Linked DNA regions of Neurospora crassa OR74A. The protein of the gene in region 3 purifies or fractionates together with the protein of the main gene of each other region. This does not show direct contact. Links are inferred from orthologs where the notes say so. Each region holds a gene or a part of one and is shown on either strand. Other genes may lie near its edges. The genes, in order: NCU09437, NCU03808, NCU00334 and NCU08026.

What was found.
Region 1: the proteins of NCU00334 (region 3) and NCU09437 purify together in Saccharomyces cerevisiae (affinity purification with mass spectrometry, with the first as the bait; 3 studies listed by BioGRID). This does not show direct contact. The link is inferred for Neurospora crassa OR74A from reciprocal best matches to the Saccharomyces cerevisiae genes RRP45 and UTP22.
Region 2: the proteins of NCU00334 (region 3) and NCU03808 purify together in Saccharomyces cerevisiae (affinity purification with mass spectrometry; 6 studies listed by BioGRID). This does not show direct contact. The link is inferred for Neurospora crassa OR74A from reciprocal best matches to the Saccharomyces cerevisiae genes RRP45 and ECM16.
Region 4: the proteins of NCU00334 (region 3) and NCU08026 purify together in Saccharomyces cerevisiae (affinity purification with mass spectrometry; 5 studies listed by BioGRID). This does not show direct contact. The link is inferred for Neurospora crassa OR74A from reciprocal best matches to the Saccharomyces cerevisiae genes RRP45 and MTR3.

Annotation. Positions count from the first base shown.
Region 1 is NC_026507.1:182,555-186,860, reverse strand, and holds the start of NCU09437 (hypothetical protein), read left to right. Parts: upstream 1-1,503; 5' UTR 1,504-1,588; coding exon 1,589-4,306. UniProt on the Saccharomyces cerevisiae protein: Involved in nucleolar processing of pre-18S ribosomal RNA and ribosome assembly.
Region 2 is NC_026505.1:2,474,170-2,478,366, reverse strand, and holds the start of NCU03808 (pre-mRNA-splicing factor ATP-dependent RNA helicase PRP16), read right to left. Parts: upstream 2,803-4,197; 5' UTR 2,734-2,802; coding exon 1-2,733. Other genes in the region: NCU03807 (hypothetical protein), read left to right, coding at 3,207-3,359, 3,421-3,711. UniProt on the Saccharomyces cerevisiae protein: Probable ATP-binding RNA helicase. Required for 18S rRNA synthesis. May play a role in restructuring of the pre-rRNA.
Region 3 is NC_026503.1:3,487,019-3,490,279, reverse strand, and holds NCU00334 (3' exoribonuclease), read left to right. Parts: upstream 1-1,207; 5' UTR 1,208-1,276; coding exon 1,277-1,443; intron 1,444-1,524; coding exon 1,525-2,251; 3' UTR 2,252-2,734; downstream 2,735-3,261. Other genes in the region: NCU00335 (pre-mRNA-splicing factor cwc15), read right to left, coding at 1-723, 815-847; NCU00333 (ADP-ribosylation factor family protein), read right to left, coding at 3,053-3,261. UniProt on the Saccharomyces cerevisiae protein: Non-catalytic component of the RNA exosome complex which has 3'->5' exoribonuclease activity and participates in a multitude of cellular RNA processing and degradation events.
Region 4 is NC_026504.1:3,956,873-3,960,594, forward strand, and holds NCU08026 (3' exoribonuclease), read left to right. Parts: upstream 1-1,275; 5' UTR 1,276-1,468; coding exon 1,469-1,601; intron 1,602-1,660; coding exon 1,661-2,388; 3' UTR 2,389-2,460; intron 2,461-2,522; 3' UTR 2,523-3,220; downstream 3,221-3,722.

The DNA.
Region 1 (4,306 bases), on a different chromosome or scaffold from region 3:
CGGCTAGCGTAGCTATACAACCGAACCAGGGAATACTTCTCGGTAATAAAGGTCGTAAGGTATATAAGTACTAAAATTCCTTTCTAAAATCACACTATTCTAATACGCAATATAATTTATCGATAGCGAAAAGACTAATCCGTTTATAGAATTCTAGGGACCGCAATACAGCCTTAAATTTCGTACTTATCGTAAGTTCCGGGCTCAATAGAATATAAGTATAATCGCCGCATTAAATTTAGTCCCAAATATCCCAGTTCTATATATAAATTAATAAAGGTACTTAAGATTCGTAAAAAAGGGCAGAATACTTACTTTTAAAGTCACATCTTTATTTACCTATACTAGCTTTAAATCTAGCACTTTAGTAATAATATTATTATATTAACTTTCTCCAAACTTAATTAACAGTATAATCTATATTGTAATTTTATTATATAAAGCTAAAAATATATATAGGACAATACTTTTTCCGTAGCCCATTACTGCGACTAATATTATATCCTTCTATTCGTACGCCAACCGTACTACCGCCTTAACCTAGCCTTTTCGAGGGTCTTTACTATTACTAATAATATCTTTTATTACCCGCAATATACGCTAGGGGTCAACGGAGGGATCGAAATTAGGATCTATAGTATTAATACCTATAGAGGATAGAAAAAATTAAGGAAAAAAAATAACGTACTATAGAGTAAAGAAAACTATACTACTATATTAATAGTCGTATAATATCTATACCTACAAAGTTTTATAGTATTGGGATAAAAAGCCGTACTGTAATATATAGCTAACTAGGCATTGAATATACGGACTTACGTAAAGTTTTTACATTTTCTATAATAATTAATACTTTCAATAGTCGTAGAAAAAAATTAATAATACCATTAAATCCGTCTCAACGAACTCTTTCTCCTCATATCTTTTGTATAACCTAAATCTATTGTTTTATTTTAACGCTATATTATCTTTCTTAGAAGTTTATCAATATAAATTCCCCTATCCGCTTCTAGTCTAATTGGGAATTCAAACCTCTTTTTTAGGCGTTCTTATTCAATACCGGAAAGTATACTAAAAGAATGGGTACACGGATCACAATTTAGAAACTTTAGTAACTTTCAATTTATTATTTTTTTTGAGAACCCCGGGCGCGCAGCGCACGGGCCAGATGTGCGCGCAGCGCACTTTCCCAGCGGCCGCAGGCCGCCCATGCCTAAAAAAGAGGGTCTGATTCTGAGATAAGGGCCGGGCGCTCACTGTCTGTCAGTTGAACCCCACAGGGGCAACCAACCAACATTGCCCCACCCGACTGCCCCTGTCGGGTCTTCCACTGCCCCTGTTTGTGGATTGACCTCTTATCTCTTATCGGAGCTCCAGAGTCTCAAAAAATTTGGGAATTCCCGTCGCAAACTTGAACGAGACTCGAATTTGCAGAACTTCAATTGGAGGGACGACGCTCGGTCCACTGTTGTTTGGCTTTCAGTGCTCTCTCTCTCAGTGTCTTGTCACTATCAATTTCCTGTCTCCATTCCCAGGACATCCTCCTCCACCATCACCATCATATACCTATACCACCGCCACACATACAATGGAACCCGGATCAGCAAAACGACGCAAGATTGGCCATTCACGCGGCGGTGAAAGCGCAGTTGGCAACATCGACGCCGCTGCCTCCTCGGGTCTCTCGCGTGGCCGCGCATTCATCCTCGAAGCCGAAGAACTCGTCGACGAAGTGAAGCTCGACTATGCCACGGCCCTCGAAGGCGTCGACTCCCTCCTCCACAAGATCAAGGGCTCCATCGAAGCCATCGAAGCCCACGATGCCCTCCAGATCGCCGAGGCTGCCACCAAACTCGAAAAGAAACACAAGATCCCGATCCCGTTCCCCGAGCCGCGCCCGTCCGACAAGTCCAACTACAAGGTCGCCTTCGCAAAGCCTTCCCAGTTCAACGTTGTCGGCAGCTATGTGTCCAAGACCATGATCAAGGCCCAAAAGAGCCATGCTGTGGATATGGTGGTTGTGATCCCCGGCGAGACTCTGCAAGAGAAGGACTACCTCGACCTGCGATACTTTTACAAGAGAGCCTACTTCCTCGGTGTTGTGGCTGCTGCCCTACAAAAGGACCTGGCTGATGATGGAGAGCTTTCATACGAATACCTGAATGGGAACACCCTGTCCCCCATTTTGTCGTTGAAACCAAAGGTGGAAGGAGAAAAAAAGGAGGGCCAGCTGGACTACAGAGTGCGCATCATCCCTTGCGCCCCAGACAACTTCTTCCCCAAATCAAAGCTTCACTTGGGCGCTACCCTCGTGCGCAAAGCTGGCGGTGACGAGTCCAAGGCCGCGACCAAGCCTACGCCCTTCTACAACTCGACGATTGTTTCCGAGTCCTGCTTCTTTCCCTACTTGAAGCTCTTGCGACAAACCGAAAAGAAATGCGCCGCGTTCAAGAAGGCTTGCATCCTGGGTCGGGTGTGGTTGCAACAACGAGGACTGGGAAGCGATATGGCGGACGGTGGTTTTGGTCACTTTGAATGGGCGGTACTTTTGGCCCTTCTGCTCCAAAGCGGCGACAGCACCAAGGGACATGCGCCCTTGTCTACATCCCTGAGCGCCACCCAGTTGTTCAAGGCCATGGTCCAGTTCTTGTCTGTTACTAACCTGTCCGAGAAGCCGTGTGTTTTGGGAACTGCCACCGTCGAGTCCGAAACCACTGGTCCGGTTCTCTTCGACGCTGTTCGTGGTTTGAACGTTGCCTTCAAGATGAGCAACTGGTCTGCGGCCAAGCTACACCAACACGCCAAGTGGACAAGGAGCCTTCTCAACGACAGCACTGCCGACCAGTTTACCCCTACCTTCATCCTCAAGGCCGACCTCCCCTGGCAAAACTACGACCTCATTGCCCACCTCAACTACGATGGAAAGCAGGACAAGACAGAACCGATTGACTGCCGGGGACGGCTATGGGAATACAGCGACAAGGTGCACAGGGTTCTCAAGCGGGCTCTTCAGGACGAAGAACTAGGTGAAAGGGCTCGGTCGATTCACATTCAACTACCCAAGAGCTCATCCTGGGATCTCACCAAGAAACCCTCCACCAAGCAGAACCACACAATCGAGATTGGTGTCCTCTTCAATGCCGCCAACATGACCCGCTCTGTCGACCGCGGTCCGGCCGCTGGACCTAGCAACGAGGAGAAGGAGGAATGCGCCAAGTTCCAGCGGTTCTGGGGTGAGAAATCGGAACTTCGTCGGTTCGAGGGTGATTCTATCAGGGAGACCTTGATCTGGTCGTCCACCTCCCCCTTTGACCTCTGCGAGGAAATTATGCGCTACATCCTCAAGCTCCATCTTCGCGTTGGCTACCTCGAGGACGAGCTCACCTTCCACGGCGATGGCTTCACCGAGTTGATTCCTATCAAGCCGACCGACACCTCCGTCTTCAACGCCGCTCGCAAGGCCTTTTCCTCCTTCGAGAAGGATATCCGCGACTTGGACGACATGCCGCTGCACGTCAGGCAAATAGCCCCCATCTGCCCCGAACTGCGACACGCCTCCGTCAAGGTGCCCTTCTCGACCGTCAACAAATCCGGCCCACGCCCCCTGGAATGCGTCATCTCCTTTGAAGCCTCCGGCAAGTGGCCCGAATCCATCGTGGCCATCCAACGCACCAAGATCGCCTTCCTGCGCATGATCGGCGACCTCCTGGAGCGTTCCAAGCCCGGCGAGGTCCGCTCTTACGTCGGTCTCGAGTCCTCTACCACCACCAACACGGAACTCGAGAACCTCGCCTACCTCGACATCGTCTACGAGTCCGGTCCTGCCTTCCGCCTGCGCATCCACTCTGACCTCGAAGAGGCCCTCCTCACGCGCCAATCGCACGACAAGACCATCGACCAACACCACCGCCACCAAGCCTCCGTGCTCCTCTCCAACTTCCGCAGACTCTACTACCACCTCCCTCTGCACACTCAATCCATCAACACCTTCGCCACCCGCTTCCCCGCCTTCTCGCCCACCGTCCGCCTGCTCAAACACTGGTTCTCCTCACACAAACTCGCCTCCCACTTCACCCCCGACTTCATTGAACTCGTCGCCCTCCAGACTTTCTTGAGCCCCTACCCCTGGGACGCACCCTCCTCCCCTTCCGTCGGCCTTCTCCGCGCCCTCCTCTTCGTCAGCAGATGGGACTGGCGCTCCGAGCCGCTCATCGTCGACACCAACAGCGACATGCCATCGTCCGAACGCTCCGCCATCGCCACCCGTCTCGAAGCCTGGCGCAAGATCGATCCGCTCATGAACCAC
Region 2 (4,197 bases), on a different chromosome or scaffold from region 3:
AGCGAAGCGGGGAGAGAGCGGGAAGATGGACATGGTAGATCCGATGGGGGTGACTTGGCCAGTTTGGGAGATGGCGTTGAGGTAGGTCAAAAGCTTCTCGGCCTTGATCAAGCTCTCACGCGGTGGCGGCGTGGGGAAGGGGAAGTTGACGACATGCTGGAGGTTCATGGACTTGAGCTGGAGCACAACGCCCTCGATGGGCATGCGAAGCAACTCGGGCTCTGAAAACTCGGGGAAGTCTCTTTCGTAAACGGCCGAGGAGTAGAGTCTCCAGCAGTGTCCCGGACCGGTACGACCGGCACGACCGGCACGCTGCTTTGCGCTGGCCTTGCTGATCCACCCAATCTCGAAACTCTGGACGCCACTGACAGGATCGAACTTTCTCTCCTTCGACCTTCCAGTGTCGAAAACGTACTTGATGCCGGGAATTGTCAAGGATGTTTCAGCGACGTTGGTAGCCAGGATGACGAGACGGTGGCCCTCTGGGGGCGGCTCAAACACCTTCATCTGCTCTTTCGTGGGGAGCAAAGAGAAGAGAGGTAGGATATGCATCTTCAATGGCCCTGTACCAGATTCTTGGTCCTCAATCTCGAACTCCTTGTCTTCCTCCTCGTCCGACGCAATGGAGATATCGTCATCGTCTCTGTCGTTGATGTTACGGTCATCCTCAACGTCGCCAAAGTCGATGTCTTCGACTTCCATGGGTGCCTCCTTCGCAGAAATCCGCACCTTGGTGGTGCTGGCGGTGTTCATACCGCCACCAAAACGCGCCTTCAACCGCTTGCTGAGCTGGGCAATTTCACCCTGACCGGTCATGAACACAAGCATGCCACCAGGGGGCAGTTTCCTGTGGCCCCTGCAAATCTTGCGGAATGCCTCATCAACGTAGTCGTGGTTTGTCTTTTTGGCAAAATGCATGGTAACAGCATGCTCACGGCCTTCTACCTCAATGATGCGAGGAGTGGTGTGGAACAAGTTAGAGTTTTGGGTGAATTCCTCAACCCTGAGGGTGGCGGACATGATGATCAGCTTGAGAGGCTTGATCGTGGGGTCTTCCTCCGCCAACTCTCTCCTAAGCTTGACCACTCTGCTGAGCATCGCAATCAGGATATCGGTATTGACGCTTCTCTCGTGGGCTTCATCAATGATGATGGCAGAGTACTTGCGAAGAGCAATATCGATGGCCGCCTCACGAAGCAAGACACCATCCGTCATGAACTTGATGGCCGTCTTGGAGTCAACGGTGCCTTCGAATCTGATTTGGTAGGAAACCACATGTGAATAGTCTCCCATTTCTTCGCCAACACGCTTCGACATACTGACAGCAGCGACACGTCTCGGCTGGGTGACACCAATCATGCCAGGAGTAGGTCCATCCGGAACACCGTAACCGGACTCGAAGAGGAACTGGGGAACCTGCGTGGTCTTGCCGGAACCGGTGGCACCGCAAATGATGACAATGTCGTTGTCGTGAATGGCCTCCATAATCTTCTGTTCCTCTGCAACAACCGGTAACCTGAAACGAGTTTCCTGGATCTCGGGTGTCCTGGTAACTACCACGGCGAAAGCCTTGCGGGAATCGTTCTTTGTTGGTTGCAGCTCGATAGGCAGAGGCTCTTGTTCGATCGGCCGAGGCGTAAAGTTGGCAGGTTTCGGTATCTCGAGAATGCTTGATTCAGCAGGCTTGTAACCCAAAGCTTCGTTCCTCGCCTGATGCGCCCAAGCCTTGAAGGCTGAAGACTTTGCTTTCTTGTCCTCCTCGGCGTCCTCCATGTCCTCGTCGGATTCTTCCGCAGAATCATCGTCTTCTGAATCATCTTCGGAACCCTCTCCGTTCTCTTCAGATCCATCCTCTTCTCCCGATTCCTCCTCCTCCTCTTCACTGCCTTCTTCCTCGCTGCCTGAACCACTACCCTCAGACTCTTCATCGTCTGAACCCTCTTCGCCCTCCGAACTGAAACCGTCCCATTCTACCACTTCCGGCACAGGAATGACTGCGGGAGCTTGCGATGATGTAAAGTTGTGCTTCGTTTTCACACCTCCTCTCTTTTGTCTCTTGGCAAGTATTGGGCGTCCTGACTCGTCGACCTCTAAGGGGCGCTTGAGACCAGCACCGACAGGTACTGGCAGGCTTGTTGACGATGTCGTCGCTTGTACTGGTGTAGGCTCGCTTGTTTCCGCTGGCGCGCTCCTTGGCTTCTCGGCTGCCGAGTCCTGCTCATCTTCCGAGCCCTCTGAATCCTCGTCGACCGTGGGTTTAGGCTTTGGTACTGGTGCACCTTCCTTCACCTCTCGCTTTTCGTAAAGTTTCTTGGCCGCCTCCTTCTCTGTTATAAGTCCAGCTTTTGCTTCCTTGACAAGCCGGCTGAGCTCCTCCTTTTTGGTCAATTTTGTTTGGCCTAGTGATTTTGTGCTTGAGAATAGGGAGGTGTCGATCTTGTTGGCGGCAAGCTTGGCCAGGAGTTCGCGGTTCTCGTCCTTCTTGAGCTTTGTGTCGATGTACTTTTCGAGTCTCTTGGCCTTCTTGCTGCTGACCTTGACACCCGCAGGCCTCAATTCCTCCCGTAGCTCGGTCTTCTTCTTTTCGGCATCCGTGGTGGTTTCCTGTCCAGGAGCGATCTCGAGGACGTTGGTGTCTTCGGGGTCTTGTGTTCCCTTACTCCTCGACCGCTGGCGATCAAGCTGCTTGCGCTTGCGCTGACGCGGCACGAACTTCCCGTCTATGACAGCCATGTTGTTGTTTTATCGGGTGTGCTCGAGGCGAGCAGTGACGGCAGAAATGAGGGCCGGTGTCGCGACGGCAGAATGCAACGAACTGAAAGTCACCAAGTACCCTGAAGATTTGAAGATTAAATCTTGTCCGCCTGGCAGAATTTCTGCGCTAAATGTGGCACCCCACGTTTTGGGGGCCTGTGAGGGTCCAGGACAGCAACTGAAGTAACCCAGCTACAGTGCGCGTACAGTTTGCTATGTTTCGTGGGTCCATCCTGAACTCTGCAGCCCAGCCCACTCCGGCTCCATCAACAAACATCACGATGGAGTCCCGCGTCTAAACTCTGAATATGAACGCAGTAGAGACATCAGAGAGTACTATCCGACCAGGAGTACAGAAGCCGAAGTTATCCCCCTACGGTCTTATCCTTTGAAACACACGCGGTTTTTCGAGTCTTGCAACTGTCCATACTTCACCACATCCAGAACTCACCATGTCTGAGGACGCAGTCAGGCAAGAGCCATTCCCGTCACCTTCCAGGCAGGCAACTGGGCTTGTCAACGGAGTGGAAACTGAGGTTTCATCAATGAACTTCTCGGACAAGATCATGGTCACCATTTCTCAAGGTGGGCGCCTTGCTCAGTGGGTAGGTTCAAGAGCGCCCGAACGCCATCCCACTTACAGTCTACTAACATACCATGTTCTAGGTCCAAGTACAACTAGCCGCACCTTCTTCCGCGTCAGTAGACATGGCTCTGCCTGGCGCCGGTAGCCTGTTACCATCAGAACATTTAACAGCAACGACTCTTCTTGGAGGTGGAAATGCGGAGAGGGAGACCATGGGCCAGCTTTATGCCAGTCAAATTGCCAGTCTCCTGACTTTGCGCAACCCCAATGAGCAGCGGTCTTTGTTGCTTGGTTTGGGCCTGGAGAAGGTCGACACCACTACTAGTGACTCCTTCTATGACGTGGTCGAGTTGGTACAACAAGTCCTCTAATAGTAAATGTCATGGAGTGAACGATATCTCGCAGTAACAAGTTCGAGTTGAGGCTATCGCGATGAGCAGTTCTGGTGAAGCGGGGAGTAGAAACCAAATGTGTGGTTATCGGGAATGAGCATGTTCGCAACTCGGTGGATGTGGTCGGCTGAGAAGATGTAAGTGAGGGCTGGTCTGTCTTAAGGCAGGTTCTGGGAAGACAGGGGAACGATGGCTGGGCTGCTGGCCAGTTTAATCCTAGAGATGTAGAACACAGAACAATGGAGGGCAGTGAGCCCGATCTTGCAGCAACACAAAAGATGTGTGTCAAACGAAAAGCGACTCCAGGCAGATCGACAATTTCGAGCAAGGATCCAAACAGGATGATAGGATGATAGGATGATGTTGAAGGCAAGAGGGGCTCAAGTGGACGAGCTGAGGGACAAGGCTTAGCCATAGACCCTAACCCTGCTTGATGAAGCGGAAATATGTGGCTTGTCGAGCTGG
Region 3 (3,261 bases):
CTTCTTCTTATTCCTATCGTCCACACCCCTCGCCTGGTTCTTGAAGACCACGTCGTCGTCCCACCTCCTCTTGACCGTAAAGTCCGGCTTGTTCAGCAGCGGGTTCCCGAGCGCTATGTCCTTCTCGCGCTGTTCTTCTTCGGCCTTTTGGCGCTCAAGCTCCTCGCGCTCGCGCTTCTCTTGACGCTCGCGACGCACGCGCTCGAGTTCCCGCTGGAGTTCGGCTTCTTCGTCGTCTGAGTCGGAGTCGGAGTCGGAATCAGAATCGGAGGAGTCTGAAGAGGCGTCGTCGTCATCTTGGTTCTTCTGGGCTTTTGGTGATTTGGCATCGGCGTCATCGGCATCCGCGTCGTCGTCATCAACATCATCAGAAGAATCATCCGCATCAATCTCCCTCGTCAACTCTAATATCCTTCGTCGCTTCGCTTCTTGGTCTTCCTCCTCTTTGTTGTGATCACCGCCCGTCAAAGCCAATGGGCGCTTGGTTCCCGCCTTCTCGTTATCGACATCGTCATCACCAGAGGTAAGAGCAGGTCCGCCCCTCAACTTGGCCTTGTGCGCCTCCTCGGCAGCCAGCAGCTCAGCGCGCAGGTCGCGCGTGTCGCGCTCTTCAGATGCCCCCGCAACGCCGCCTTGGCCGGGCTTGCGGAACTTGAGCTGGGTGTAGGCGGGTAGGAGACGCTGGTGGTAGGCGGGACCGCGGAGGGCTTCTTTGCCTTTGGCCTGGTTTTGAGAAGAATGGATGTTAGTGGGTGCACGAGAGGATGGCGGGATTGGTTGGGGATGAGAAGGATGAGGGTGGTGGGATGCGTACCGGGTCGAAGGTAGGTCTGTGAGCTGTGGTCATTCTGGCGGCTTGGTTCGGTTACGCAGTTCTTTTCTTGAGTTGATAGATGATGCCGGTGCGTGAGAGATGAAGCGCGCGCAATAGAGGGCGAGATGGGCCGTGATTTGTTGAGGGGTGTTGGAAGTGGAAATTGCTGCAGAGGGAAGTAAAGTTGTTCCTGATTTGAAGCAATGGCTCTGAAGTCTGAAGAAGGAACTGGCTGGCAGTAGTGGTACAAATGGATCCAATGACGCCCTGGGGTTCAGTCTCGCAGGCGCACTTCTTGACCGCCAGCGGCAAAACCCGCCAAATTCTGGCGGACTTTAGTGGCAGAAACGGTGACCATAGCGACTGCAACTGCAGCACCTACCTAACCAGTGATGTTGCCCGATTCTTTAGATCCGCAACCACGTATTTTCAAAGGGAAAAAGTAAACAAACCTCAGTCAACATGCCCAGAGAAGCAGAACCGTCAGCCAACGAGAAGGCCTTTCTCTTGAAGGCGCTTCAAGACGAACAGATTCGCCTCGATGGCCGTGAATTCGACCAATACCGTCCACTAGAGCTCACGTTTGGAGACGAATATGGCGTCGCCAATGTATCGCTTGGCAAGACAAAGTACGTTTGTGTACTCTCACCACCACCACGCATATCCTACCCCTGAGGCACCAAGATACTAACCGGGACTCCCATCTTTAGAATTCTTGCCAAAGCCTCCGCCGAAGTAACAGTCCCCTTCGCCGACCGCCCGCTCGACGGCATCTTCACCATCGCCACCGAACTCTCCCCCATGGCCGCGCCTCACTTCGAAGTGAACCGGCCCACCGAAACCGAAGTGCTGCTCTCGCGCCTGCTCGAAAAGACGGTCCGGCGCTCCGGCGCCCTCGACACCGAGTCGCTCTGTCTGGTCGCGGGGCAAAAGTGCTGGTCCGTCCGGGTCGACGTGCACGTGCTTTCGCACGACGGCAACCTGACCGATGCGGCCTGCTTCGCCGTCGTCGCCGCCCTTCGCCACTTCCGAAAGCCCGACACCAGCATGGAGAATGGCGTGCTGACGGTGTACACGCCTGCGGAGCGGGAGCCGGTGCCGCTGGGCTGGCTGCACTCGCCTTTCTGCGTGACGTGGAGTTTCTTTGGCGAGGAGGGTGAGACAGCGTTGTTGGATGCGGATTGGATGGAGGAGCAAGTCAGGGTCGCCAGTGTCACGATTAGTTTGAACAGGCACGGAGAGATCTGCCAGATCGCGAAGCTCGGGGGTGTACCGGTCGAGGCAGTTGCGCTACTGCAGTGTACCAGCGTGGCGCTGACGAAGGTGAAGGAGTTCTCCACTTACTTGGATGACAAGTTGGCGGAGGACGCAAAGAGGAGGGATAAGGGTGGGTTTATGGCTGAGTTGAGGGCGGAGAATGATCGCATTGTTGGGTGAAGCGGTTGAGGACGTAAGAGGAAGAAGTGAGATACCCAGGTACGGCCATAGAGCCAAGCAGAACAACAAGGCTGTGTGGTTGAAGGCGAAACCTGACGAGGATATGGGACAGCTCTACAGCTGGTCTCTTTACTTTTCTCAGTCAAAAGAGAACGGCAAGAATTGTCCAAGAGGCAAGTCACTCCGCGGAATGGGCTCTATTATTATGATGGGGGGCGCCGCGAGTGCCGTATCCTCCCTCATGTCTAAAGGGAGTTATCCCGTTAGCGGCGACCGAAATTGCCATCTAACGTTACACAGTGTATCTCGCCATCAGCTCAGTCCCCAAGTCCTCATCTGCCGCTAAAGCTGCCAGATGAATGAGGTGAAAGCATTGGCGCCAGGTAACCACAGGGTCCTAGCCTCTATCTCTGGACGCAATGAGCTCCAAACTTTAGTTTAGACCAAGCCTGAGCCCTAAATTTGCTTCTACGCCACTCCCCCCACGATCCAATCTTGCCCGAATCTGAAGTGATTTGATCTGATGGCAGGGTAATCTCGCGTGATGGCAGGGTGTTGTAGGTCTTTTTGGAAGAAACCTGCGTGATCACGTACCGCTCCTGGCCTAGTTCTTAAGTCTTCCAGGAAGCGATATTGATCCTCGACGGCAGGCAAGATCCAAGCATTGCCTGCCGAACCCAAAGGGAGGATTTGGCTCCCACATAGAATCCTCTGCCCCGGCGCTGTCGATGTTCGTCGATATTGGTCGCGAACGTGGGTTATGTCATGAATTGGTCTTTCATCATCAACCGCTCCCGCTTCTCACCGCATAACCGGCGGCCTCGACTCCTTGTTCCACTTTACCCTTGACCTAACCCACTCCACCGCCTCCCTCACGCCCGTCCCCGTTAGTGCCGACACCGGCAACACCCTCGAGTCTCTGATACTTGCGCTCTTCTCGCCCTCGAAGACCTTCTTTACCAAGCCTTCCTTGATCCGCACCACCTCTACGCAGTCTTCCCGGTCCTGCT
Region 4 (3,722 bases), on a different chromosome or scaffold from region 3:
TCGGCATCGAGCAGAAGGCGAAGACGACACAGATCAGACAAGCCGTTTTAACTCAGCCCTACAAAGCCGGCCCAAGCCTCCCACGCCCCAAAACGGTGCGCAGGAGACTCGGACAACGGAAGCCAAATGACACCCCGAAGGGAGACACCACAACTAGTCCTCACGCCCCGAAAGACGCTCCAGTGCGGATGGATGGCTCGGCCCGTACATATCGTTGAATGGATAGACTGTTGTCATCATTGTGCATGGGACAAAGGAAAAAAAAAAAAGGCAAAGTACCTACCAGATGGGCATGTCGACTCTCCCACTAGACGCAAGATCGTTTTCAGATCCTATATAACTTGAAGTTTGTTAGCCAACTTGCTCGCAGCATGTGTGGTGAGGGCTGTCGTTGCAAGAAAGAGTTGGGGTGATTGCCATATCAGAAGGTTTTGGTATAATTGGTTATCGCTCATTATTATTCAGAAGCAGAACTGAAAATATTTTGTTTCATCATGGACAATCGGGTGGGTGATGATGTCAGGTGGGGGAAAGAAAACAGAAAGGAAAACAATGTGATGCTTACCTAGTGGGTAGAGACTGAGAAAACGGAGTGGAACAGCAACGGTGACAATAACAACTTTGTCTGTACTATTGATTGTCAGTCAACGGTTCCTCCAAATGAGTTGCAAGTGAAGGATGTGTTGAAGGAGTAGTCAGATGGTAGTGCATGTTTGTTCGATCGCTCAGAGATTATCGCGAGAACTGTGGTTATGGGATCATCATGAGATGTGAAAGGCAAGGGGAAATAAACTTACTCTATCCGTGCGAACCAACGTCGGCCATGTCAGACAGCCAGGACATGCTCTCTAGCAATGGGGTTCGCCATCGCAGAATAACCAAGAGCATGCCTGGACAGTTGACATGACCATGCCATTGCTGCGCCAGCGCAGAAGGCTGCCCAACCAAAGCGACCATGAGCACGGTAAGACCATGGTATCATGGCTGCTCCCCAAAGACAGTGGCCATATCAAATGAAGGCATTGATCCAATGCCGACAATCGCAAGCCGTTCCTGCCGTTGCGAACGGTGTGGGTTGGTGGAAGAGTTCAAGATGAGGTTGGAACTGAAGGCGGCAGAGTTTTGTAGCTGCGCAAAAAATTCCTCCATCGGTGGCTTTGACATGGAATTCTGGGTGGGGCATGTGGCTGACTGATCAAAATCGACAGTGAATGTGAGGTTGCGCCACAACTACTTGAATTTGAGAGTGGACCCACTGCAGTGTAGACGGCGACTCTCACGTCTTGTTTTCAACAGTCAACAGAGGTACCAACAGAAGTTACCAACCGTGAAACAAGGAAAGCCATACACAGACGAGGTCTCTTCCTCTTCACCTATCTCAGGATTCTTCGACCAGAGAAGGGCATCGGAAACAACACAGCAATCACCAAGCCCACCATATCTCCGGCCCTCGTATCTTGGCTTCAAAATGGCCGACAGAAGACGTATTAACGGACCGGTTGGGACTACCAACCCTCCCATCTATGACGATGCACCCGAGAAGCAATCCGAAGGTTTCAAGGTCACAAGGTCACGCCCGGCGAACGTAATTCGCAAAATGTGTAAGCACGTCGAGGACAAACCCTCCTGTTTCGCAGACACAGACTAACCTCACGTTTAGATCTCAAGACGGGAGTGACACCGTCGGCCTCTGGCTCTGCTTACCTAGAGATCGAGTCGTCTGGAAACGGCGGCTCTGGCTTGAAGCTCAGTTGCAGCGTTCATGGACCTAGAGCTTTGCCCAGGTCAACACCTTTTTCTCCTCACATCATCTTGTCCACCCATGTCAAGTTTGCACCCTTTGCGACCAAGCAAAGGCGTGGTTACATTCGTGACCCGATCGAGAGAGATCTCGGCACTCACCTTGAGACGGCTCTTCGGGGATCTATCATTGCTGACCGTTGGCCAAAGAGTGGAGTGGATATCATCATCTCCATTGTTGAAGGAGAGCAAGATCGGGAGACCTCCAAGGCCCAGGGTATTGAGGCCTGGGACACCATGAATGCCTTGAGTGGCTGCATCACCGTTGCCTCGGCTGCACTTGCTGACGCTGGCATTGACTGCGTCGACACTGTGGCCGGAGGTGTTGCTGCGTTGGTACAGGACGCAGGTAATGACGCTGCTCCCAGCATAGTTGTCGACCCGATTCCTTCTGAGCATGAGAAGGTTCTTGCAGCGTGCTGCATCGCATATCTTCCCACACGACAAGAGGTCACCAACCTCTGGTTCAAGGGTGACCTACCTGCGTCCGATATGGACGTTTATACGCAGCTGATTGAAAAGGGCATTCAGGCTTCCAAGAGCGCCAACCGCGTGCTCGTGGACTGCCTGAACGAGACCGTTGGGTGATCATGAGGTCGGCGCGGCAATGTATTATTTGTTTTAGCTATGCGCGAATGGGAAATACTCGTATTGAAACCTGTAAGTCCATCAACGGGAAAAACGCATGGAATTCTATGGTCTGACGGTTCATGGTCTTTGAGTACCTCTACGATTTTGGTCGATTTATCGACCCGAAGACCAGCTTCTGATGCAATAGGTCGAGCTACCAGCCACTTGGTCTTTCGCAATAGCCCATATGTAGGGCAGAAGTAACGGAAGATGCCAATCGATAGCAGCGACAACAGAACTGCGTTCCGAGGTTCGGCGGCTGACTGCAAGAATGGAATGGTCAACTTCCGGCGGGAATAGTTTCGAGATGCCTGTCAAGGTCTGACAGGTTGAGCGAGCGCTCTTTTGCTGAAACTCAGCTGGAAGATCGCAGTGTGATGGACGAATGACGTCCAAGAAGCGTTGTGGCTGGTATGCAGAGCTACCCTCTGAGGTTGACTGCCGAAACATTATGAACCGCGGGGTATGAGAAGCTTCCACGTTCTTCGCCTCAATGATCGTCTGTTTCTGAAATTGGAAACATGATGTGGGGAGATTACGCGTATCGTTTCGTTCATAGCAGCACGGCATGTTCGAAGCAGGGCAGACATGGCCAAAGGTGGTGGCTGATCATGAACCGAGGTTTCACTATTACTGCGTAGGGCATACATACACTACACCTGAACTACTTTCTTTTCGTGTCCGGCACGATCTAATCACTTTATCTGAAGGGGACTGTGGTGAATAGCTCGTATCTTTATCAACATTTCGAGGTGGAGGTAACATAACATGATCAACTACATAATCTGCACAAAGATCGAGTAACGTTGCGTTATTACCGGCGTTCTGGTCCGTAACTTTCAGCATTACGAACGCCACCAAGGAAACCCAATGGAACTGAAGTCACTGCATCCGAAGGCGGACGTGGTACCACCACTCACATATTGGCACAGTGCCGGCCGCGTTCAGCGACGGGGCGCCCCCCGGCGTGGCGTGGTCCCGGGCCCCTCTTTCCCCTGAACTTCTCCTTATCTGCCCCCCCACGGTCCCTCCAAAAAACTACAGACATTTCCCAGTTCGGCCCACATTGTCCACTCAGGCGGGAATTGTAAAACGACCTGACAATCCAATCTTTCCCGTCATCCTCCAAAATCTCACCTCACCCAGCTTTCGGGCGAGTTTTCTCTCGCTTCGCACCTGGTCATTTCACTTTTCCCAAAACCACCCCTACTCTCGTTTCTTCCGACGGTCCCGGCTGCCTACCTACCTACCTACCTACCTACCTACCACACTGTACACTTTTAATTATTCCA